2 linked regions of the Xenopus tropicalis genome follow. The protein of the gene in region 1 binds, or shares a complex with, the protein of each later gene. Links are inferred from orthologs where the notes say so. Each region holds a gene or a part of one and is shown on either strand. Other genes may lie near its edges.

What was found.
Region 2: taf7 (region 1) and taf12 share a complex: the UniProt entries of both Homo sapiens proteins name them as parts of the TFIID basal transcription factor complex. The link is inferred for Xenopus tropicalis from reciprocal best matches to the Homo sapiens genes TAF7 and TAF12.

The regions. Positions count from the first base shown.
Region 1 is NC_030684.2:37,688,769-37,702,234, reverse strand, and holds the start of taf7 (transcription initiation factor TFIID subunit 7-like), read right to left. Parts: upstream 8,590-13,466; 5' UTR 8,555-8,589; intron 7,253-8,554; 5' UTR 7,210-7,252; coding exon 7,197-7,209; intron 5,902-7,196; coding exon 5,828-5,901; intron 5,375-5,827; coding exon 5,296-5,374; intron 4,013-5,295; coding exon 3,879-4,012; intron 3,620-3,878; coding exon 3,493-3,619; intron 3,392-3,492; coding exon 3,333-3,391; intron 3,168-3,332; coding exon 3,095-3,167; intron 2,957-3,094; coding exon 2,852-2,956; intron 2,068-2,851; coding exon 1,900-2,067; intron 1,767-1,899; coding exon 1,654-1,766; intron 1,114-1,653; coding exon 1,054-1,113; intron 350-1,053; coding exon 305-349; 3' UTR 1-304. Other genes in the region: MGC108429 protein, read left to right, coding at 9,954-10,092, 10,301-10,357, 10,441-10,531, 10,827-10,987, 12,779-13,043, 13,300-13,466. UniProt on the Homo sapiens protein: The TFIID basal transcription factor complex plays a major role in the initiation of RNA polymerase II (Pol II)-dependent transcription.
Region 2 is NC_030678.2:78,441,304-78,454,133, forward strand, and holds the start of taf12 (transcription initiation factor TFIID subunit 12), read right to left. Parts: upstream 12,004-12,830; 5' UTR 11,981-12,003; intron 10,401-11,980; exon of another isoform or gene 10,391-10,400; coding exon of another isoform or gene 10,319-10,390; intron 6,847-10,318; coding exon of another isoform or gene 6,763-6,846; coding exon 6,580-6,762; intron 3,928-6,579; coding exon 3,850-3,927; intron 3,305-3,849; exon of another isoform or gene 2,626-3,304; coding exon 2,511-2,625; exon of another isoform or gene 1,652-2,510; coding exon 1,563-1,651; exon of another isoform or gene 216-1,562; coding exon 180-215; 3' UTR 1-179. UniProt on the Homo sapiens protein: The TFIID basal transcription factor complex plays a major role in the initiation of RNA polymerase II (Pol II)-dependent transcription.

The sequences.
Region 1 (13,466 bases):
ACATGTAAGGTTCTTTTGCTTATTTGGACTTTCTGTATTGTACAGCAGGCATTTAGTCACAGCACAAACCATTACAGGATCTAAACATCCTCAAGCAGTCACGTTCGAATGGCCTAAAGTAAAATATCTGTTTGGATGTATAATTTTCAGCACAAACAAAATTAAGGGAGACCCAGTCCTCATTGTTTCCTAAATGGAAGGATTTCCTCTGAAAGTGAACATTCTGGAGGATGTGGTAAAAAGCAGTACATCTACAGCAGGGAGGCCAAGTCATAAATATCAAGGAAACCACATCGGAACCTCTTTATTTCTCTATTAGAGTCTCGAGCTGCTCCTGCAGGGATGTCAGCTAGGAAAGAGAAGAGATTATCACAAGGACTGGTGTAAAATAGGTACTGCTACATTTGGTACACTTTATCACCTCCCATTACCATATTAACATTATAATATATTTACAAAAATAAACCATATAAATGGTACATTTATAATGCCTCTGGCTACAGAAAAACGGGCATGCACAAAAGAATAGCTATATCAAACTATGGGATTTAGCAAGGCAATGACAGAATAATAATGCTTGTGTGAAAGGAGAGACTGTTCTACACTATCCTTTTCTTCTATCTACTCCAGTAAAGTTTTAAAAGCATGGGCCAGCTTTTGATTCTTCTGACATCAGCTGGATACTGGACAACTGTGTAGAGATGCTGGCCCATACAAATTCACTGGGGGCCCTAAGTCAACTAGGAAAAAACAAACAGCCTCAAACAGTCTCAAGATGCACAGTCTGTCATCTTCTATTTTCTGTCAGTAGCGTGACTGTATGCATTTTTGTCTGCTTTTGGGGATACACACTGAGAATTACTGCACTTGATAAGCAATAATTCTCAGTCTCCCTGCACACAGTTAGCAAATAACAATGTCGCCAATATACAGCCATACTGCAAAACACAAAACAATGGAAAAAACTTGGAACTATGTCACAGCATTCATTTTGTCCCTTAAATAAGATAAATCTAAGCAATGGGTCACAGACTATAAAGCCATAATACATACCTGTTGCTTTTCTCTTTCCTCCTGCTGCCTAAACTCATCCAACACAGCTTGTAAGCGAGTCTAAAATAAAGAAAGAAAGTTTGTGTGAAATAGCTGCATGGCCAGATACAATCATCAAACTTGTATCAACCCATCTATAATAATCAACCAAAAACAGAAAGAGTAACTACATTCACCATCTTTCACACAGAGGGAGTGTGCCCAGACCCCTAGACCCCCATGGCCATTGTTTACATCCATACTGTATACCCTACAATCTTTGTTTGCCTGTAACTTCCAGTTTCTGGTATGCATTAGTAGTCTTGCACAAGGAGTGTGCCCGGCCCTTCTACTTCATGTGTATTTGAACATTGTGCTCAACCATTTCTCTTGCAAGGAGTGAATGCCCAGGTTCTCATATGCCTGGAAAAAATTGCTCTTAGACACTTCTTACATAAACAGGAGCCCTATCCTGTCCATCCTACCCTATCTTGCATGCCTACATAAATGTCACACACACATATTGCTAAACATAAAATGACCATAGTTAAGCATTTACTGAATCCACTTATATACATTTTCTCTCTCACACAAGGCAACAGTGCTGCAATCATGTGTTACCTTCAGTGCTACATTTTCAACCTTCATTATAAGCTCTTCTTGTCTTTTTCTTCTTTCCTGTGTCTCTCGCAGTTTCTTTTGTAAATTTTCCAGCTGTTTCTGCATCTCCAGAACTGATACATAGGGAAATGGGATATCATTAAGATCAACTTCCCCATAAGTTCTGCATTCTTCTCTGGCTAAAATATTACTTTCACTATAAAAAAAACAAAAAAAAAAAAAACTTGTGCTCCGCTATACTCTCACCAATCTGGTTAGTGCCTCCCTTTTGACCATCCTGTCCTGCCCTCTGCTCCTCCTCAGTCTCCATGATATTAAGATCTTCTTCTTCCTGGCGTTCTCCCTCCTCTTCTTCTCCATCACTGCTACTACTGATGTCATTAAAGATCTGACGCAATTCTTCCCTCTCCACTGCTGGAAAGAGAGAGACATGTTGGGAAAGACAAGTTAGAGCTTAAGATGGAGGGAATAAGAATAATTTAAAAAAGCTAATTAAGAACATAAGAATATAAGCTCATATTTAATGGATGTTTGCAGAGGAATGTGGAGCAAAATAAAAAAGTGTGAAGAGGACCATAAAAGGGCTGGGTTTAGTTAGAAGAAAATCTAGCAGCAGGCAGCAGGTCAGATTGTTCCAGCACTGAATATCAGTGTGAATTAAAGATGGAGTAAGGCAGAAGGGCTGTGAGACACTGCAAAAAGTAAAGAGCATTGGAGTTATTACAAGGAGACAAGGAAGATGGAATAAGTGAAACAAAGCATTAATGGAGGAAAACGGATTTAAAGGTAAGAGGGGAGGAAGAAGTGATTTCTGTCATTTCTCTTTACTGAATTATTATTAGAAAAAAATCAATACTGGCGTTTGTAATAGTTTCATGACAGAACATGATCAATTCCCTGTGAATCCTTTCTTGGAATCAGAGATCTTTGGGGGGAGATGGATGCATGAAGAAAAGACACAAGATAAAAAACTCTGCAAACACTAAAGAAGCTTGGAATATCCTTTCCGATGAAATGTTCACTTCCATAGGCAGTCAGCTGCCTATGTATCATAGCAAGGGCAGCATGATACCACATATATTAAGAATCAAAGTATCCTCAGCTTCCCATGATAGGGTACATTGGTTTGCACAAGACCTAAAAGAGATTTACATTTATAAGCTGAAAAAAAATGTTATTTTTGGTAAGGACAAACTACCTGAAGAACCACGACCCTGTTTGATCCCAGACATCCCTGGGGAAACATCCAACCCAGTCAGATTCTCAGCTTCTTTTGATTCATCCTCAGCTATCACTTCCCATCCTAATGGTGGCAAGTCAAGGAAAGGATAAGATTCTCAAATATAAAGATATAAGTTTAAATCCAGAACAAAAAATGTTTCTCTCATCACAAAGCGATCACCATATGTTTTCTCCTGGGTAGCTGTTTATAAAAGGATACGCACACTAACTGCCTCAGCATCTGTGCTCAGAAGCCGTTTCACCTCCTTCTCCACATCTGGGGACTCAATATACTAAAAAGAAAAAACAAAGCTTAGGGGTTATCAAGAAGTATCAAGAAAAATGGAAGATGATGAATATGTAGGGAAGGAAGAAGAAACAGCACATCACACATTACGATATGCAACCCAAAGAGAAAGTGGTTCCCTCAATGCACCATGATATAACTACAGAATTACCTTCTTCTTTGCAGTTTTCCTGAACCGTCTCTTTCGCACATTCTTTAGAGGTGGTGTAACTGAAATAACATAAGGGGGGAAAAAATTGTGTGTGTCTTGTGTGCAGAGGAAGAGTGGTAGGAACAATTTCCCCCAAACTATGAAAGACAAACAGACTCACTTCCATGGTTCCAAATAAATTTCTTTTCTCTGTCCCTGTCCTTCTTCTTGCTGGCTTTTGGGTCACTAGTCCCAGTTGGCTCTTCAAGAGGTGGATAGAGGTCTCCATCAAGGGTACATACCAACATCTAGGAGAAAAAAAAAAAAGCAGACATTCATGCAACTACTGGAGTAATAAAAGAAATGGCCTGATTCACAGAATGTATTAATACGGAGGGTTACTTACTTGGAGCTACACAAAGACTACACATGTTGCCTCTTTTTGTTTCTCTGCAGTTACCCTATTCTAAATGCAGTAATGAGCATGTGACCTGTTTTCATTACTCATCTGGAGAAAGGGTACTTACTAGGCACTTTAAGGTAAAGGCAAAACAAAGCAGCAAATACCTGACAGATGTCGGCAGTCTTGTAGCAAGTCTTTTTGTCAATAGTTTTTAAACACTCCACTACACAGGGAATATCAACGAGTTTTGCAGCCAGTGGTACACGGTCAACACGTACAATTCCATGACGTCCATCAGCTGGGAACAGATCATAACTACATAGTAAGTTAAGATAAATAGAGGATTAAAGGAAAAAGAAAGGTAAAGTCACTTGGGGGTGCCAAAATGTTAGGCACCCCCAAGTGACTTTAACCGCCTACCTTTTACCCCAGGCTGGTGCCGCTGTCAGGAGAAAACAGCACCAGTCCGGGGTAGCTGTCGGCACTTCCTCCTTCCGGCTTCGCTGCGCGCGCATGCGCAGTAGAGTGAAAAGCCGAACTTAAACATTTAAGTCGGCTTTTTCGCTCTACTGTGCATGCCCGGCCACCGGCAGTTTAGGAAGCTGAAGGCGGAAGGAGGAAGTGCTGCGCTCCAGGTACCCCGGGCTGGTGCTATTTTCTCCGAACAGGGGCACCAGCCCGGGGTACAAGGTAAGCGGTTAAAGTCACTTGGGGGTGCCTAACATTTTGGCACCCCCAAGTGACTTTGCCTTTCCTTCTCCTTTAAGGGGCATGTTTACCAGGACTGTAGCAACCAATCAGATCTTTGCTTCTGATTTCTAACTTGTAGGCAAGTGTTTAAATCGAATTGCTAATTGATTGCAATCTACAGTCTTAGTAAACCATCATAAATTAGCAATCACTTCAAAGTTTAAAAACATGCAACAGGGTAAAGGCTCCTCCTGAGCCACTCTTTACATTTGTAATTATCAAGTGCAAATATGCTGCAGGGATTCCATTCCAGACCGATACTAACAATCTGTATTTCTTCTTTATTTTAATTATTTTCTATAATATACATAGGTATGTTGTAATCCAGTAATTGGACTGATTATAGTTAGACAGGATATATGTTTTTTTTATTTTCTCTAGACTGGCTAGAGCTCAAAAGATAACTAAAGCAATAGAGAATGTCCTCCATAAGTTAAATGCTTGTGCAATAGGGGTTGTGCTTGCCTCTTTTATTGGCTAGTGATAAGCAAGTTACTTGCTTTTCTCTTGCAGCTACAGTACACAGCTTAGAGACAGAGTTGTGTGACATTTGGATTAAAAAATCAAGGTAAAAACAAATCAGCAGTCCACTGAGAACCTCCCCCTTGCACCAGCTGCAGCCTGTTAGGCTGTGAGAAAAGAAGCAGCTACTCAGCGGACTGCTGATTTGCTTTTCAACTTGCTTTTAGGGACAGGAATTAGAATGAGACGTTACGTTCATTTTTAAATTTTGCCCTATTTAGTTAAAACAATCCCCCCCCACCCTCAATTTATATGGGAAAAATCTTGAATCTTTCACAGCCTCAGAAACTAGGCTGCTAAAATACTTACGATGCAACTCAACAGAAAGTCTGTCTTTTGTATTTACACTCCCAGACTGGACCATCCTCCTAACTGTTGAGGCATATTCCTAAATGAATAAAAAAAAAAAAAAAAAAAAAAAATAGAAGATGAGGAAAGAACCTGATCCAGTGACAGCTGTTAGTTAGTATTTAAAAATTCCCCTAATTCTTTTTGTGTTCCACCACTTGGGAAAGTGGCGACAGTCTGTCTGATGACTTGGTGGCTTCTGATAAGGGGGTTCCCAGGTTTATTGCTGACTCAACACGAGAGATTTTTTCATCCTACAGACCTTTGTCAAGTGCACACATACACCACTCAAGAGAGCACAGATTTACTGTGTGCCATCCCTAAACTTTCCAATGCATTTAATGTGGCACTAATGAAGCCTATTGTCAAATTAAGAGTTTAAGAAAAGTAATTTTAATCACAATCATCATTAAAAGTACCATGCAATCATTTAGGAGGAGCAATGGAAGCAGCTCTACATAGGATTCCTTGCTCGGATAGGTGTCATACTCACCTGTGGGAGTCGCAGGATAAACTGGCTCTCTAGTTCGTGTGGGGCATCATCTTTGCTCCTTGATGTCTTTTGTTCTATGGAAGGAATATGTAAAACTCAGAAGTCAGTTGGCCTTGTAGGCAGTAGGACTCATATAGAGGAAGTGTTGAAAAGTAAAGAAATTAATATTTACCAGCTCTTTCACTTTTCTAGATAGCGCACATATATACAAGAAAATTATGTTTATTTTCCTGTTAATATGGTATGAAAGTATACAAGTGCATGTATTTCTGCACATTACATTGTCTCTATATGTTAAAGGATATATTACTAGTAATAAATTAAAAGACTAAGAAATAGAAATTTTTAAGAGATGGTGTGTTAGGCAACCCCAGTGAATACATTAGCTTAACCCGAGTGTAGAAATGTGCCAATCACCAGACTTAAGTTATAATAAACAAAAAAGTCTAAATATTGGTGAAAATCAAAGCTTTTATTGTAAAAATAAAAAAAAATAAAGTTTCATGGAACCTGCCCCTTTATCAAACAAAAAAGTAAATGACAACACATTTGTTAGTGTCTACCTAAAGCTCCCCTCTTAAAGGTACATGTTATGCAATGTGCTGCAATCCCATACAGTAGGTATACATTAAATAAGAATCATTGGTATTCCTAGTGTAATACAAAAATCAGCCAAAAATCAGTAGTGTAGTCTACTTTCACATATTATTAAATAAATGCATATAGATTATACTCTTATTTTAATCCCCTAGAGTGAAGAGTCTGTAACGTGTGTATCCAAAATTTCTTCCTTTTCTGGAGATACAAGAATCTGTTGTTCTCCTACAATGGGGAAGAAACTTTCTAAATATAATAAAAATTCTGTACCATTTTTGAAATAACTAAGTTACTCTTCATTGTCTCCCACTCAGCATCTACCTGTCTTTATTCTCTGGACGTAGAGAGGCAGGATTTTTGAGTGAGCTCTAATACATATTTTAGGCAAAAGGATCACCTACCCCCCCCCCCCCCCCCCAAATGCTGTACAAGACTTAACTGTCAATCAAAATCAGAATCCTAATAAGTGTATAAAGAGAGAGAATAAAGAGAGAGAGAATAAAGAGAGAATGAAGAGAGACAGATGCTGGGAGAGTAAATTGATTATTTCAGACACAGTACAGAAGTTTTTAATTGATTACATCTAGAGATCTTCTTATTTCAATATGATGCAGCCTGTATTAAAATGTAATTTTTGCAATAGGTGCCCTTTAAGCACTTCAAGGTTGTTTAATATAATACAGGATTTAATGTATACAGAAGGTATTCATTTGTATTTTTACTATAGTGTAAAGAAAAAAGTTAGCAGTCGCTTAAACAACATTTATATTACTTGTGGAAGTCATGGCCAATCTGTCAGGAGAAGTCAGTAGTAGGGGGCAAAGAAATCTGTGGGTGGAAAAAAAACCATGAGATTAAATCTTGCACTTGGCCAATCGTCCATAAATTCTAACGACAGACCATTGTTATGACTACAGTAGGTCCCCAGAACGTTTAAGCCTTTTTTTTTTCTTTTTAAAAGACTGGCTGCACACAGATATTTTAGTGAGCTTGTGAGTGGGAATCAGTTTTGACAATCTGCTCCACAAATTTTAGTTGTTAAAAGAGGAATTCTTACACGCAATTTCTCTATTACAACCAAAGCCATTAAAGGAGTGGCATACAGACCAGCTTTAAAGTACTACTACTGTACGACTGTAAGCTCTACGGGGCAGGGACCTCCATCCTCTTGTGTCTTTGACTCTTAAAGGAGAAGGAAATCCTAAGTCACTTGGGGTGCCAAAATGTTAGGCACCCCCAAGTGACTTAAATCGCTTACCTTGTACCCCAGGCTGGTGCCCGTTAGGGAGAACAGCACCAGCACGGGGTAGCAGCGAGTGCATCCTTCTCCCGCGTTGGCGCGCTTGCGCATGCGCAGTAGAGTGAAAAGCTGAACTGTAACAACAAAGTTGGCTTTTCACTCTAATGCGCATGCGCCGGCCAAGGGATTTCACCGCAGAAAAAACACGGAAGAAGGAAGCGCTCGCTACAGGTACCCCGGGCTGGTGCAGTGTTCTCCTAACAGGGGCACAAGGTAAGCTATTTAAGTCACTTGGGGGTGCCTAACATTTTGGCACCCCCAAGTGACTTAGCCTTTCCTTCTCCTTTAATTTATTGCAACTGTATCTTGTATTAATTTATATTTATTGTTAGACTTTGTATTTATCTTAATAAGCCCGTTTGTATTAATGTATTCTCCTGTACAGCGCTGCGTACATAAGTAGCGCTTTATAAATAAAGATATACATACATACATACTAGAATATGCAGAGCTGCACAATTATACAATACAGAAAAGTGTAAACAGGGAGAACAAACACTGCAATAAATAAGTATAAAAATACATAACTGTGTCACTGGTAAGAGAGACAGAAGGAAGGCGGTCTCTGCCCTGCAGAGCTTACAGTCTGAGTGCGGTGGGGACTAGTGTTGCAGTCCCTGGAAATGACTGCCACCTATAAAGCTAAAGCTTGCTTCTTGTAGCTATGCAGCGTTATAAGGAGCACTACAGTCTCTATAGCCCACACCGGCACTGAGTATAATAAACTAATTTGTTCTTCGAATTCCCATCTGTGGGTTAAGAACAACTCCCAGTAACCCCCGGCGAAGACTCGGCCCATCACCTCGACGAACTACAGGTATTCTACTTACCGGAGGAGACCCGCTGCTCTCTAATTCATTGTGAAGTTACACCTATGGGAAATTCCTAGCCCACAGAGCACCAGATACCGGAAGTATGTGGAATAGAGCCGGACTCCTTTGCCTTCTGATTGGTTCACACTGCCCAGGACTACGGTGTCCATTATAGGTCAATTATCTAAAAATCCAAGTGCGTCCTGCTTTCTCCCACCTCCAAAATCTCTGAATTGCGCCTCCCCCTTCTAGTATTAATTTTGCACTTGAATTTGGACAATGTATGTCCTGAAATGGACACCGTACTTGGAGTTCGCTAACCAATTGGGTACCCAGCCAAAGTCTCTCACAAATGATTGCAGAGAATACGGAAGCTCGAAATAGAAATGAGAGTAGCAAGTGATGCTATGTATGTGTTACCGATAGGGGTGGTAGGGTCAGTCCCCGGAGAGTGTGTACTGTGGAACGGGCGGCTCTGCTAAGCGGTGGGTTTCTCCCTGCACCCTGTAAGTGAGAGGAGTAAGTGCCGCTGTGCATGCTGGGAGCTAAGTGGCAGACATTAGGGTCTCATACGTGTTAATGTATGTATGTACAACTATATTTATAAAGCGCCACAAGGGTACTCAGCGCTGTACAGTCTTACAGAATACAAAATTACACACAGGGAGGACGAGTGATATATATATATATATATATATACATATATGTATTTATTTATTATAAGTGCCATGTGGTATGAGACACAGTAGGAAGGAGGTCCCTGCCCCATAGAGCTTACAATCTGAGTATTAATAAAATTGCCATTGGTAGCTTCTGCTTTATTATGGTTCATCAGCACTGTAAGTCTTATGGGCAGGAGCATTAGAATCCTGTAGTGTTAGAAATACTAACTATTGGGAGTGAGAGCAAGTACACTAGTCAGTTATCGCTCATTTATACCAGGAAGTGATACGTCTCCTTACTTATTAAAGTTACAATGGCATGCTGTCATGGTAGGAAGGGTGGCACCGTAAGCTTCTCCAGAGGGGACTTACAGAAACTTACTGTATTTATATATAAAGTTTGAATTTAAATGTTATATATAAAATGGAACTGTTCCTTCTGCAAAATGCTTTACTTATTTGTGGCACTGTATGGATATACTTACAGGCATACATGAATGTCAGCTCTTGGGATAAAATAAAAGCAGATATTCATATTTACCTAAAATCTAAAATAAGCCGTGCTATAAAATTCTTTTCCAATGCAGGGTAGACACATTGACAATAGTGTGTATTCACACTGACTTGCTGAAGCTTGATCGAAACATTATACTTGATTTATTTGGGCAGTGCCCATAATTGGAAGGAGAATTTGCTGCTGGAAACCCAGTGGTACTCGCTAGGAAAAAGTAACGATTTATGTTTGACAGGTTCATATGGAGACTACTGGAAACCGCTATGACTTCTACATTGGACTGGCTCTAGCTCTTTCCTCCAGCATTTTCATTGGGAGCAGCTTTATTCTGAAAAAGAAGGGTCTCCTCAAACTCTGCAGTCGAGGACAACTCAGGGCAGGTGAGAATTGCCAGGTACTCCACCATTGCCTTTATCACTGATTTTATATCTTATTTCCCCCTGCCTACAAGTTCAGCCTGCAGTGTTTTTTAGTACATAACCAGAAGCTTTCCTTTGCTAACAGTTTTGTAGGAAACTGAAAAGTGATGGCGATATAACCTTTTATATCAGGATACTCTAAGTAAATAATTCTGTCTCTGCCTGGCAGGACATGGAGGGCATGCTTACCTCAAGGAGTGGCTGTGGTGGGCTGGTCTCTTGTCAAGTGAGTATATTTTCAGAATTCATTTAGCACACCTCTGATATTGCACTCACCTGACCTATCCTTTATTATCTGTTGTTTTGTAGTGGGACTGGGTGAAGCTGCTAACTTTGCTGCATATATATTTGCTCCTGCCACACTGGTGACTCCCCTGGGAGGATTGAGCGTGTTGGTGAGGTGAGAGAAATGGGAGACAACTGGATTATTGTGTGCTGGAACTCTTTTTTTCCATTCCCCTCTACCTCTTTCTCCCACCTCCCAATCTGGAAATTCTTACTTGCTTATACTACTATTAATACTCCCCCACCTCTATTCTCATCCATACCGCATAAGCATAAGATACCACCGACAATATTTATTGTAAAATACAGACAGATTTTCCTCCTTAAAAATCAGTAAATTATGACTGTGTATATTTTTTGATGTGTATTTGCATTAAACATGAGTAGGAATCTGCCATATTTCTCCACAGCGCGGTCCTTTCTTCTTATTTTCTTAATGAGTATTTAACCTCTCCTGCTAAGACTGGGTGTGCTCTGAGTATTTTGGGCTCCACTATTATGGTTCTCCATGCACCTCAGGAAGAGGAGGTATCAACACTGAGTGACATGGAAGTAAAACTGAAACAGCCAGGTAAGAGGATCACGCTGGTAGCACAGGTATCTTGCTATGCCATAAGGCTGTTTATTAATCTACGCTTATCATCATGTCAAGGCACTCGCAGATCCCATGGGCAGACGTATATAAAGGAAACCTTTACTGCATTACAAAAAACATTAGGTACAAACTACCCTACCATTATGTTTATTGTAATAAATTAAACTTTTTCTTTATATATGCCTACCTTGTGGGAGAGGGTGTGTGATTTTGTACCAATTCTTTATAGTAGTAAAGACACCTAGTTTTTGTCCATGAAAATGTCTTTGTCAAAGATACACCTAATAATAGAGGCTTCTTTGTTAGAGCTACCCTGATGAATCACACAGCCCACTCCTGAGAACACAAGGGCATCCTTGGTTTTTGGGTGACAGGAGTTACATCCCAGGCCAAGGAAACAGTAAGAGAGTATAATCAGAGCACTGAAGCCGTAGGAAGTACTTGCTGGAGATACTGAACCCTTGATAGAATTGCAAGTAACAGCTTAGCAAGTGCCATTTTAGCAAATTGCAAAATTAATGATTAACAGTTTTAAAATATATGTACTTTAATACTGGGAAGAGCTGGATTGTGAGATAGAAAGAGACTGCTCCTTCATTACCATTATTTTTTATATCACACCAGCAATTTCTGCAGCACTCTACAACAATTTAAAAACACAAGTTACAGAATAAAAATAGGCTTTAAATGTGGGGTTTGATTATACTTATTTTGAATGATTTAGACCTAACAGCGTAATAGCCTAATAGAGTGTTCATTTTTAGCTTCTCTGACTATATTTCTATGTAATTGCTGCTAAACTGCTTCTTTTTTTTCATTGAGAATAATGCAGCAGTTATTAATGTGGAATTGCCATTAAGCAGCTGTCCTTGCATGGCAGCCAATCTGCAGACAGTATATTCTTTTTTTTCTATTCCCTGTACCCTAGAGAATCCCCTATGTGCTTATAACAGGCTTCTTATAAATGTATTTCCATACTTTGTGTGGGACAGGTATATATACTAACTGTTTTTCTTTTTTTTCACATTCTATTCATTTTGGGTTTTTTTATATACGATATACATTTTTTGTTCTTTAGTTGTCAGGTTTGGAATTTGCAGATTGGCTTAAAAACCACAGAAATGGCAGTAGGGAAATATAGCAGTAAGGAAAAAGATTCCCTCCTGACTAAGCCAATTTGATATTGACACAATTTTTGTTCTGCAGCTCCCCAGGTTAGAATTTCATCTGCTATATGGTTGTTAGGGTCCGATTACACTACCAACCAGGGAGTGGCTTCGAATAAAATGATAAATGATAAAAGTAAATAAATAATAAATATACAGATATATACACAAAATGAAGACCAAGTAAAAAGTTGTTTAAAATAGTACATTCTATAACATACTAAAGGTTAACTTAAAGATGAACAACCCATGTGATCAACAGCAGAATAAGTGACATATCTCTCTAATGAGGAATGCAGAATCCTAGCATGAAAAGGGGGGTTGTGTCCCTGATACAAATAAAGTGCAAGATGCATAGAGGCAGACAGGTTGCATCCATGCTGTGGCACATCATTCACCATTGCGGGTATAGCCCCCATTCAGTTAGCAGATGGTGACAGACAGTTATAATGTACCAGAATACTCTGCTCATCTGTACATACCAGTTCAGTTTCTTAGTGGATCCAGATAAAGGCAAAAAAAAAAAACCCAGAAAAATTTTATAGTTTGCCTCTGGCATCAATAACTATGTATCATTGCACCTCTTTGTATTTCTTTGTAGGTTTCCTGGCCTTTGTTTCCTGTGTGCTCCTGTTTTCATTCCTCCTTGCCCTGCTGGCTGCCCCCCGCTGGGGTCACAGTTATGTGCTAGTGTATGTACTTATCTGTTCCCTTGTGGGATCCCTTTCGGTGGCATGTGTGAAGGGGCTAGGTATAGCCATCCGTGGTCTCTTCTCTGGACTGCCAGTGTTTAAGGATCCACTTGGATGGGTGTTACTGCTGTGCCTGTGCATCTGCATCAGTGTCCAAATCCACTATCTCAACAGGTGAGCAATCCTTGTGGCATTCAACTTACACACACACACACTCCTCTCTGTGTATATACAGCCATATGTTTCGTTACACAGTATTCAGTTATCTGACAAGCAGAGTGACAGAACATGGGCAACAAGAGTCCAAGGGGCATCCTGCAAGTTTTCTCACTCTGCTTTCATAGCACCAGGGACAGTAAGTGTGTATTTGTTGTTGCCGTTTGTATTGGCATTGTACATTTGTAATTTGTATTGTGTCTCTTTCTTCCAGAGCCCTGGATGTGTTTACAGCCTCTCTGGTGACACCTATCTATTATGTGCTCTTCACATCCTCTGTTCTTGCTTGTTCTGCCATCCTGTTCCAAGAGTGGCAACACCTGAGTGCTGGCAGTGTGGTGGGGACAGTCAGTGGCTTTGTTACCATTGTATTGGGTGTAT
Region 2 (12,830 bases), on another chromosome or scaffold:
AAGGTAGTCAGGGGACCAATTAACCCTTTCCCAGCAAGAGGGTTGTAAACTTTCTGTCCCCAAAGTTAGACTCTTCTCTGAAGAGGTTGCCTTCACGCTCATCTGTCATCTGTGGCAGTTTGAAGGTGTCAAGATCAGAATGGCAAGGGATTGCAGAAGTCCAAAGTCACAAATGGATTTTATTTCTTTTGTGTTTTCTTAATTAAAGCCATTCTCTGTTAGAAAAACAGAGGGGATGGTAAGTAGGCAGGTAAACATAAACAGACAAAACAATTTGATTTGAAAAAAAAAAAAAAAACTAGTTTAATTAAAGTTAAATTAAAATGAAAATGCTGACACTGATATTGTTCTTTAGAGGTATGCCAGCCCCACCTTGCCTGCTCTCCCAGGTGTTCAATATGGCACCAATGGCTAGTTGCAATGTGTATGTGCCGAACCTGGGCAACGGCAGGCAAATGCTGAACACGTGAAAGAGCAGCTGAGATGAAGCCACTGCACCTCTAAAAAATATCAGCACCATAACACCATGTTTTTAAAGGAAGAGGGACACTGTCCTGGAATTCAAGGTAAGCAGGCTGTGGTCATCGGGAAGTCAACTTAAAATTTTGCATCCCCCAGATTGGCCTTTTTTTGTTCTTTGCAAGTAAAAATGCAACATTGTGCAAATTAAAACAAAGGTAGCAACAAAAAATTAATAAATAAATAAATTAAAAAACCCCCACAAAGGCTTGGGTACACCATTATAACCCTTGGGTACACCATTTTCTGTTACATAAGCCTTTACATGTCATTTCTCCACATCAATTCTTAAACAAGACTGCCAGTCAAAGCCAACACTGACCTTCTACCATAATGGATGGATATGATTTTCTTACTTGTTCCCTATCAGAGCATGTTTCTCTCTAACTCACTTAAAATGTATCCAAGATTCTAGCCACCCTTCATGTTCTAAAGCCATGACCACCATTATCCTTAAACCTGGCAAAAAGTAATATGGATTCATATTTCTTACTCTTAATGCAAACATCCAAGCCAAAGTTCTAGCCAACCCTTCAGTGTAAGGTATCTCAGATCGAATACACCCCAACAAATTGTTTGGGTGTATTGGATCTAATGTTTGGGGTGTAAGATGATTAAACAAATAAGTTATAATTTATTTGGAGAAATAAGGCACAGAGTATGGCACTGTATTTACCAACCTTTTCAACTAATGTGAGAGGATTTGGCCTACCAAATGTATATTTTATTTCCTAGGCGCTCAAATCCAATACGTCTACTGGCGATTTAATTTAGATCTTGATAACCCTAAAACTATACTGCAAGTGTTTAACTATACATTCAGTTCTCATATGCTACTCCAACTGAAGCTCCAGACACACATGCTTACGCTGCCACTGGAATTGATAGCACCCTCAAAGGCATGGATCCAAGCACTAACCATATGTCCTCTGAAGGGCCATACATCTTATGCCAAATTATAGGTTTATACTTTGGACTGGATAAAAGTCACAAAAGGATCAAATGAAAAAAGCACACTATTTGAAAATGGACAGCCACATTACCTGTTTATGTGCTTCAGTAGTACAAGCCTTTTTATAGGGCCGAATTTCTTCTGAACCAAAGCCTGGAATCCACATGTTCCACTGTCTCTCTGTGTAAATAGGAGCAGAAATTCAACATCTCAGACTTGTATGCTTGGTTTTACATCTGATGCCCGTGTCATATACTTAATAATCAAGAAGGAAGGCTCTCTCTATTTAACATTATCATAATAAGGGAGGAGGGAGAAAAAAATAAGGAAAGAAAAAACAATCATAACACTGTACTTTTTTTTGTACTCTGAATCTGATTTATAAGTGGTGTAATTCTTAAGCTGCACCAGCAGGTGACATTGTAATTTAGATAAAAACATTATTAATGTTATTATTAAAGGGCCAGTATACTCCCATTCAACAAGAGCATAATAAATAGAGCTTGCAATGAACATACTTTTCGCCTAATGTTTTAATCATGAAAGATCAATGTTTTTTGTTAAACAGGGCAAACAGGGAAATTTAAACTACTCCATGTTTAGTCTTTTGAGGTAGATAATTGAATTACTAGTACACATACAACCCCTCTGAATAATGGACTCCTGCTAGAAAAAATAAAGGGTAAAGGCAGTGGGTTCAGATTTTGAAGTGACAACCCCCCCCCCCCACATATATTTATTCATGAAAATTATAGACAATAAAAATCTTGACTGCTTTTCCCAAGGATCCCTTGTGCCAGTGCATGCACACTAATACACAGAAAATCTTCACTAATATTTATTTAGGAAAGTGTGATGTGTGATGTGTTTTTGCTGACTTTTATATTGATTTAATCCCACTTTTGCACAGATTCATCTTAGCTCATGACAGGGTTTTTATACATATTGAGAAAAAGCTGCTCATGTGTATCTTATCCAAGTGGGACAGCAGAATTAAACAAAATACAAAGTTGGCATCATATGGTTATGGTTAACATACCAAGATGAAGCTGTACATCCTTAACTTCTAAAGTGTTGGATTTGCGGTGTCGGGCAAGCTGGCAGGCTGCAGATACCACACTCTCAATGAAATCATCTGCGATCTGTAGAAGCATCTATGTGGACAGAGCAAGATAAACACAAATGGAAACTATGCTCTTAAAGTCAAATATTGGTTGAATGCTCACCGATGGTATAGATGGGCCTGGGTGCTCACGCCCCAGACCTTCAGCTTGAGGGGGCCATAAGGAAATCCAAAATTTAGAAGATGGCAGGCACTCCAGGACTTGAGAAAATGTATCAAGCAGTAGCTCAAAAATTGCAGTAAAATCAAAAATGTTTATTTATATTAACACATAATGCTGCATAGCCTTACACGTTTCGTACCATCATGGTACTTAATCATAGGCTAAATAAAAAGACACAAATTAGCCAATAGCTGTACAGAAAAGATCAACCAATCATAGTATGTTGAGGTTAATTGGAAGACCATTATGCAGTCTAAGCTTAGATATTAGAACAAAAACATTAGTGTTAGGCAATATAGTATACAGATCTGCCAAGGATATCATAAATTGTATTATCTTTACAAAATGTAAATATGTATATTGTAAAATAAAGTTTAACCTTTCTTTTTTTTTTTTTGTATTTAACTCTTTTATTTTCAGAATAAAGATATAGCTTCACATCATACATTTGCAGTTTTTTACATTGGTTTGAGCCTTCTTATTGTCACATTTTTAACATCATGTCACCTTATAATGTAGATGCAATAAAAGTTTAACCTTTCTATTACTAATTTCTCATTGTCTGTTAATGAAGAGCTTACTTCATAAAAGGATAATAAATGGATTAATTACACATAACAAGATACATCGTAGTCATAATTTAGACCATTTGGTTGTCGTGTATAAAGGTAAAAGATCCATTTGGTTTCTTTTTTAATAAGAGCATTAACAATATTACCTCCTCTAGGACAAGGAAAGGCTCTATCTATGCCTACAACAGAAAGATGGGATAATGATCTATTTGAACATTCATGAAAATGTCCAGCTACTGATGTGTCAGTAGCATAGATAGATACTTGTCATTTGTGTCTTTTTATTTAGCCTATGATTAAGTACCATGATGGTACGAAATGCGTAAGGCTATGCAGCATTATGTGTTAATATAAATACATTTTTTTCATTTTACTGCATTTTTTGAGATACTGCTTGATACTTTCTCAAGTCCTGGAGTGCCTGCCATCTTCCAAATTTTGGACAGAGGCAGGTCAGCGATATTCAGAAGAGAATTCTAGGAAGAAGCTAGTTTCTTTCATACAGCTTTGGAAATCTTACCTCCTCCACATCTTCATCCAGCTGTTCATTGGGATCAACTTCTCTAACCAAATCATGCAGTTTCTTCTTAGTAAGAACCTAATGGATACATTGATGAGTGTGTTCAATTCATAGTGTAATATTTCCAAGGCAGATTAATACTGGAGAGTTGTGACCGCAGCCTAGTGCAAGATACAGGGTATTTTATGTGTTATCAACTGTCTACATTATAAGCATCTGATATAGCAGCTAAGAAATTTCTTTAAGCGTTTAGTGCACTCAATTATTATATCTATGGTGTTGTCTGGCATGATTTTAGATCCACCATTAAATTAAACAGTGCTATCATATTAATATTTACCATTTGGCAGGCAGAGTGCATTTTGACATAGATTTGGGAATCCTACATTTGTGTTTATATTCCATATTATGACTCAAATCTCCTTAACAGTACCTAAGCAATAAAGGTACCTTCTTGTCATATTAGCTAGGTAACAAACTTTTCATAATAATTATTGACTTTTTGACCGTCAATAATACCTCCATATTTAGTATTTGTTGAATTCTACACTCACAGGGAACCACTGTATCTGCACCTTATAGAAACAAAATAAATGAGTTATGAGTTATAATTAATATTTTTGTTTGGGTTGAGCATCTCGATTTAATTATAAGTGAAACAATTTAAGTTAGCTGCAAATTTTATAAACCAGTGATCCCCAACCAGTGGCACAGGAGCAACATTACTCATCAACCTCTAGGATTTTGCCTCAAAGCAGGTGTTTATTTTTGAATTCCTGGTTTCGAATTCACAAGTTTTAGTTGCATAAAAACCCAGTGTAATGCCAAACAGAACCTTCTGTAGGCTGTCAGTCCATATAGGGGCTACCAAATAACCAATCATGGCTATTATTTGGTACCCCCATGAACTGCCTTCAAGCACTAACCCAAGTTTTCAGAGAAATAAATCTATAAACTACTCTAACCTTGCTACATCAACCTAGCAGATGATTGGGTGATGTGTGGAACTACTGCCCACATCAAACCTTGAAGCTCATCGCTAAACCAAATTGATTGATGTTCCCCAAGTAGTGATCAAGCTGATGGGCCATTCTGGAACTTGACTGCTTTGCTTGCAGCAATCTTATTGACAGTATCAGTTAAAAATGTGTACTTTCAATATACAGGAATAACCTATCCTATTTCTACTTAACTTTCACTTATCTTCCTACAGTATGACAGCACAGCTTATTGCATGTATGGAACATTCTTTTTCTTTATATCTGTATTTGAATGGGAGCTGCCACATTGTTAAACGTAGGCTTAAACTAAGCATGATAATCAAAATTAGCAGCAACATCAGAACCCATTTATATGTAGGAATTTAAATGAGAAATTATTCACAAGGCATAATGGTGCGCACATGGACATAGACTTCTGCTGTGCCTGTTAAACATGCTGAAGGCATGGGATGGATGGGCTAAGTGCTTATGGTGGTAACATCAAATACAGCTAGAAAACTGACAGTATTTACTGTTTTCAGTGTTCTGGTGGCATTTAAATGGTGGAAGGTTGGCAAAAGGTTTTAGTTAACCTTTAAAGGAACATTTCAGTTTAAAAATAAAACTGGGTAAATAGGCTGTGCAATATAAAAACAAAATTCAATGTAGTTAGCCAAAAATATAATCTGTAAAGGAGGAGTAAAAGGATGTCTAATGTAATAGCAAGAACACAACTTCCTCCTTTGCATCGCTCTAACCTATCAGTCAGCAACTTGAAGGGGGCAACATGGAAAATAACAGTTAAGCTAGATCCTGAGTATGAACAGTCATGTTATGTAGCCCCCCCCCCTTTTTTTTTAAAGGTACATTTTTATTGGTTTTACAACATCACAAAACAAAAATACAAAACAGTGTTTAATATATTGACATTGGAATGGTGTCGAGTCAGGTTTAGGCCAATACAGACAAGGGTACTATTGCTAGGCATTGTAATTGTCACAGTGTAGGTGGCTGTGTTTAGTTCTGTCGGGTCAGTCAAAATTACTGTAAGGGGGTGAGCTATGTGTCCAGATTGTCGTAGCCCCCCCCTTTTAGTTGCTGATTAACAGGTTAAAGAGATACAAAGGAGGAGGTTATGTTCTGGCTATTACATTAAACCTCTGTTTATTATATTGAATACAATTTTCATTTTGCACAGCCTTTTTGCCCAGTTTTATTTTTACACTAAACAGTTTAACATATTCTAAATTAGCCTTATACAGTCTGGCAAAACCTGCTGCATTAGTTAGTTGTCCAACTGTGCAATAAAGCCTGTAAACCAGCGGTCCTCAAACTTTTAAAGCAGGGGGGCCAGTTCATGTTCCCACAGACTGTTGGGGGGCCGGACTAAAGTCCTCCCCCCGTGTCCTCATACTATGGCCCACTCCCTGCTGCTTCCCCCTGCTCTCTACTGCATCCTCCGGCTCCAACCTGCATCCTTGCGTCAGATCATAGTGGGGCCAGGTAAATTACCTTGGGGGGGGGGGGCATAGTTTGAGGATGCCTGCTGTAAACCATGGCTTGGGTTTCAACTATTGCTATAAAAAATAAGGCTTCATATTATAAATTATTTTCACTTACCTGCCCATTGCTATTGGGCTTAAAACATCTTGCACTTTTAAAACTAATATTGTAACAATGAAGCCTGATTTTACAGGTGCTGCAAATACCTTCCAGAGTTATTAACCAACCTTAGTTAAAATATACTCACCTGATTTGCATCTGGACTTGCACGCCCTCCTCCAGCAGTTGGCACTGGAACTTTACCAACTGGAGTACTGTTTGCCATGACTGGCTCCTGTTTGACCGCGACTGAGGTAGGAGTGGTGGTGGTGGTTGTAGAGGAGGAGAAACTTGACAGGTTGATCAATGCGGATGCTCCAAACTGGTTCATAATCTGGAGCGCTTTTGCTCGCAATTCACCCAGTCGGGATACGTCAGCACGCTGTTTTGGGGTATGGGGCCCAGGGCCTAGAAGCTGTGGAATCGGATATAAAACAGAAAACTGTAGGTGTCAAGTGCAAAAAAAAAAAAAACAAAAAAAAAAAAACTTATAAAAGGCTATAACTTGAATACCTGATTATATGTATTTAGAAGTTAATTATATTTAGAGGCTATTTGTACCATGGATATCATCAGTTTGTCTGCTTCAAAAATTTGTCAGGTTGGCTTAGGGGAGCATTATAATGTTAAAAGTATTCTGAATCTAACAACAACAACAGAACCATCACATATGCTTAATTTTGTTCTTTATGTTGATGTTATCATGCCTGCCAACTAAATGTTTATTCCTACAGTTGTCCATCATGGCAAACAGTTACATTTTTACATGTATGGCCAACTCAAAGCAACAATATCAGTGTAGTATTAAAATGTTTATTTTCCATTTTAAATGACCTATCTAAAATCCAGCCTAGCAGTGGTGTTGCTGACACAAATACAATACACAGTTGACAGCAGATACAAAGAAACAAGCAGGCAGGTGAGAATGTTAGAAGTAAAGGACATGGTAAGTTTATTTGCTAACATAACAGAAAAAAAGTAATAGAGGCGCTAAAAAGGTATCAATTGCGAAAAGAACACTTGGTTTAAAAAGGAACTCTTTTGAATGAAAAGTGGACTATTGTAATACAGGGCTTAAACTAAACCAAATATTCTATCAAGGAGAAACTGCACTAACTTAGGGGTGATGTGGGATAATTCCTGAAGATATCTTATTTGTACCAGCATGTGGGTGGCCAAATGAGGCCCAAATTTTCTTGCTTGGCCACCTCACTAAATGAACACATCTGCAGTGTATGGTCACCTTTAAAGTTCACAACAACAGTGCCTATTAACTGCCTGACAATATCCTAAGCAAGCCCTGCTACCTGCAATACTGGGATCTGCACATCCTTAGAACAGTAAAAAGAAAGGCTAAACAATTCATTTATATGTTTGGTGTCAGGAAGTTAGTATGATCACGTTTTACAGTACAGCTATTCTCAAAATATTAGGAATGCACCGAACTCTAGAACTCTGTTTGGGATTCGGCTGAATTTGTCACATAAACATAAAAGAGTGCGGTTCTCTTTAACCCTTCCTAATCCTGGGGGGGTTCAGGCGGATCCTAAAATAGTGGCTTTGGTGCATCGCTACAAAATATATAGTGGAAGTACTTAATAAATAAATGTAATTCTACATCACTCCTGATCCTGTTTCCACCAGTTATATTTAGGTATAGTCTCAGTTTAATGAAAGCACATAGATACAAATTGTTGGCTCTACATCTTTGAACAAAACATGGTTTTTAGGGATGCCCGACTAGCCGATAAAATCCCTGTCAATGCAGGGGCTGGAATTACAAATTTATTGAACCTCTGGATCTCCCATTGCACCACAATCATACCTTTTTTTTTTTTGGATTCACTGCATAATTTGCCCTCCGTCCATCCTAGCATGGTAATCATCATTTACTAATTGGATTATGATAAAACACACTGTGATTATGCAGGAGGGAAGGGGTAGTTTGCATTGTAACCTCATGAAAGGAGGTTAGCACATTAAAAACTTGCAAGAATCAGACAGGACAGCAGGATTCTTTTTATACATAACTTTTCCTAACTGAAGCAAAAGTAGGTTGATGGCTCTGGAGAACTGCAAAAGGTGAGTGTAAGGGCAGGGGTACACTGGGAGATAAGTCGTGCCACGACAAATCTCCGTTGTCGCAGGCGACTAATCTCCCTGCAATGCCACCCCACCAGCTAGAATGTAAATAGCCGGTGGGATAGCATACACGTCATTGCGATGTCCTACAGTTGCCCAAAGTGGTCTTCTGAGGTAACTTCGGGCATTGTGAGGAGATAAGGCCGCGACAACAACTCGATGCGCGACTAATCTCCCTGTTTACCCCTGCCCTAAATAGAGAGGTGAACCAATCTGAGCACATGTATCTGATTGAACTCAAACCAATATACCTAATGTGACCAAGCTTTTACTTTATGGTGCACTATAGTCTAATGTTCCAATAACCAATTATATCAGTCTTTGTGGAGCATTTACCATTGCATTAATTGGACATATCTGCCACCTTAAAGGGATTCTGTCATGATTTTTATGGTTTCATTTTTATTTCTAAAGTACACTGTTTACATATAATAATTGACTCTACCATTAACATTTTATTCTTGAACCAACAAATGTATTTTTTTAAATTCTAATATTGGTGTGTAGGTGCCATCTCTGTGTATTGTGCCCGAGTCTGAGCTTTCAGAAGGAGCCAGCGCTACACATTAGAACTGCTTTCAGGTAACCTATTGTTTCTCCTACTCCCATGTAACTGTAGGAGTCCCAAGCCAGCGCTATCCTGATATCTATTGGGAGCTGATATCTTGCTACCTTCCCATTGTTCTTCTGATCAGCTGCTGGTGGGAGGGGGGTGATATCACTCCAACTTGCAGAGCAGCAGTAAAGTGTGACTGAGGTTTATCAGAGCACTGGTCACATGGCTGTGGCACCCTGGGAAATGAAGAATATGGCTAGCCCCATGTGAAATTTCAAATGTAAATATAAACAAAAATGTGTTTGGGTTTCTGAAAAACAGATTTCAATACAGGATTCTTTTCAAGAAGCTCTATTAACTGATGCTTTTTAAAAAAACATGTTTTCCCATGACATTATTCCTTTAAGAATGTGGGCTTTATTTTCACTTTTCCGCTATTGCAAATAAAGTAATCGGTCTGCTAAATAAAAACATACTGACAACCCTAAGCAAAAACCTGTCATATCCAGTGTAGAAAGCAATTATTAGGTAGCTTGTTGCTCTTTTGCTACCTATAAAGCACACCTGTGTTGGATTGGGTAACCCTGGGCCCACTGGGTAACCAACTCAGGAGCCCACAGCTGCTTCGCCCACAGCTACTCCTGCTTTACTTACTTACTGTTATAGGCTCAACTTTAGAACGCACACCGCCAAGTTTATTTTTTCACAGCAAGTAAGCAGTGGCCCACTCTGCTGCTTACTTGCTGTGAAAAAATAAAAGATGGCGTTCAGGTGGCAGGGCCCAACAGGGTTGGGGGGCCCACTGTTTTTTTTTTCCAGTAGCATGGTGAGCCAGTCTGACCCTGTAACCTAGTCCTATTATTTACCTACTCTGCCTGACTATCCAATGCAAAGTATAGTCAGGAAGAAACACCATAAAGGGCATAGGGGCATATTTACCAACACTTTGTAAATTTGCCTCAATACAATAGCTCATAGCAATTTTTTAGCTGTTAGCTTCAATATTTACAGTGTTAATTGAGTCCCAGTGAATAGATTTTCATTGGGAATACATTAAATACCAGCACATACAGTACTGTACACACACACACATTAATGAACGGCGCAGAAGTTGGTTAATAAGGCTGTATGGTACAGAGATACTTTGTATCACTATACAGTGGCTCATGCTAACACACTATTTACTTACAGCCAGTTGAGTATCTAGCTCTGTAATGACATCGCACACGGCGGTGGAACCGCTGAGCACACACGTCATCATCACCGGCCTTCTGCAGACAATAACAGCATCAGTTGGGCACATTGTATAAGGTTATTAGTATATATCACAGACTGAGGTGGACTGGGTTAGTAACGATGACATTTCACCAAGTTACTAGCTATAACTCAAAAATGATCCAAGGTAAGCTTACTTTCTTCTCATCTATTTAGAGAGTGTAATATTGATGTAATTTTATAGGCAAGACAATGCTCCTAACCGGTATGTTATTATACAAAAATTTTAAAGGAGACATATTGGATAAATGGGGAAAAACACTTATTTTGTAGGCAATTATGAATAATATACGGTGCTGGTTTCCCTTTGGGCTAAACATTAACCCTATCTGTAACAATGGCCCCTTTATTGGAGCTCCCTATAGATCCTATCACTTCTCTGTCCAGTGTGAAATGGAGAGTGGGCGTGTCCTAACAGTCCCTGCCAGAAGCACAGTAGGAGGGGGAGAGCCAATCACAGCCCTGCCCTCACACAAGCACAGACAGGCTTCAGTTCCCTATCAGGTCAGCCTAGCTGCTGATTGGTTCCTGTCCTACAGTGCAGGGTACTGAGGGCGGCTCCCCAGCTCATCCAGAGAATTCAGCCAGCAGGAAGTGGAACAGATGGGCGGGACTAGTGGGGTTTTGGTGGAATTTCTCAATAAATCAGTCTGAAACACAACATTTTTAAGCACAATCCTTCTATATCTAGAGGAGTATAATTCACTGGAACATTCATCATTTTTATAGGATATGTCTCCTTTAAGGAAAAACCAAACAACTGGCATATTGTTTTTGTTACCGATTTCTGCCTTTTGCTATATGTAGTGTAACCTATCCCCATTACACATTAAAGCAATGCAGGAAAAAAAATATTCAGAACAGAAGAGACTCCTGAAACAATGTAGCCAGCAAGTCCCATTTCAGTTCAACTAACTTCTAATACATTGTTTCAGGATTCCGCACCAGTGAACAGAAGATGCCCATACCTGGTGCACTCTTACCTTCCAGTTTGTGCCTGTATGTTACCCAACCACTTAGATTGTAAGCTCTATGGGGTAGGGATCTCCTTCCTACTGTGTCTCATACCACATGGCACTTATATATATATATATACATATATGTATTTATTGTATTTATTTATTATATCACTTGTCCTCCCTGTGTGTAATTGTGTATTCTGTAAGACTGTACAGCGCTGCATACCCTTGTGGCGCTTAATAAATAAAGTTATACATACATACATACATATAACCAGCGAGCCAGTCTGAAAGCGATTTATACACCACTGAAATTGTTTAACGTATATCTGAAAGTTGCAACGAACTGGATTCTAACAAGTTGAAATTGTAACCCTCCTGTGTGTATGTATATATGTTCCAATATACCTAAATACATAATACCGTGTGTGAGTCTCACACATGAGTGAGATGATTGGCACGGTACGTTACGTACAACCTGCTGCGCACTAGCACTTGCTGCACTGCTTTGCCGGGAGAGTAGGGACACCAAAGTGAGATACCCGGGAATCCCATACGTCCCGATTCTCGCAAGGAAAACCTGATAAAGCGACAATATAATCACGGAGTCCACATACCAATCTCTGCGCTTTAAGTTCTGCTGTCTCTCTCCCTGTTGGCGGACGTTACATCACACATTCTTTCCGCTCATGCGCAAATTCTTCTTCCCCCCCACACTTTATTTAACGGGAACAATCCAAAACTCAGAATATGCGCAGAAAACCGAAAAACATGGCTCCCAATACGCCGACCTAAACAAAAATTGCACCTTTTCTCGCGATTTTAAATGTAGCTGTGGACGGGAATTGGCAGTCCCATCATCCCTTCTATTTAGCATAATTTGCATATGGCCCTCGCTTGGCAATAAAATTAAAATGTAAAATACTGTTTGTTGTATTTATGAAAGTGAATTATCTTATATTTAGTGTATCCCGATCTAGCACTCATATACAATTATAGATATTTCCCTAACCGAAACTTTGTCGCCATATGTTGTGTAAGGGTTATGCTGCCCCTGGAGGTTGCAGAAACCAGATGATAGTTAAAAAGGGCTTGTGCCGTGTATGGCACATTGCGGGTCTCCCTTGTGGAGGACTGCAGTGCGGAATCGATATCAAGAGATTTCGAAAGCATAATTTTTGTAAACTGGGCTGCTAGAGATCGATGGTCTGGGCGCCCAATAATTAAGTTCAAAAACAGAGAAAATGAGGATGTATCAGCAGGAATAAGCATATTGAAGCGTATTAATTAATACACTGTGTTCCGCAGGGTTATTTTCCCGGCAACGCCTAGTGATCACGCAGAGGACTGATACTTTTTTTTATTTAAGAGTATCAATGTATGTAATACTGCCACATGCCTACAATAAACAAATAACAAAGCCGGGTTAAGTACTCAAAATCTCTCACTCGCTCCTTTTTTAGCTGT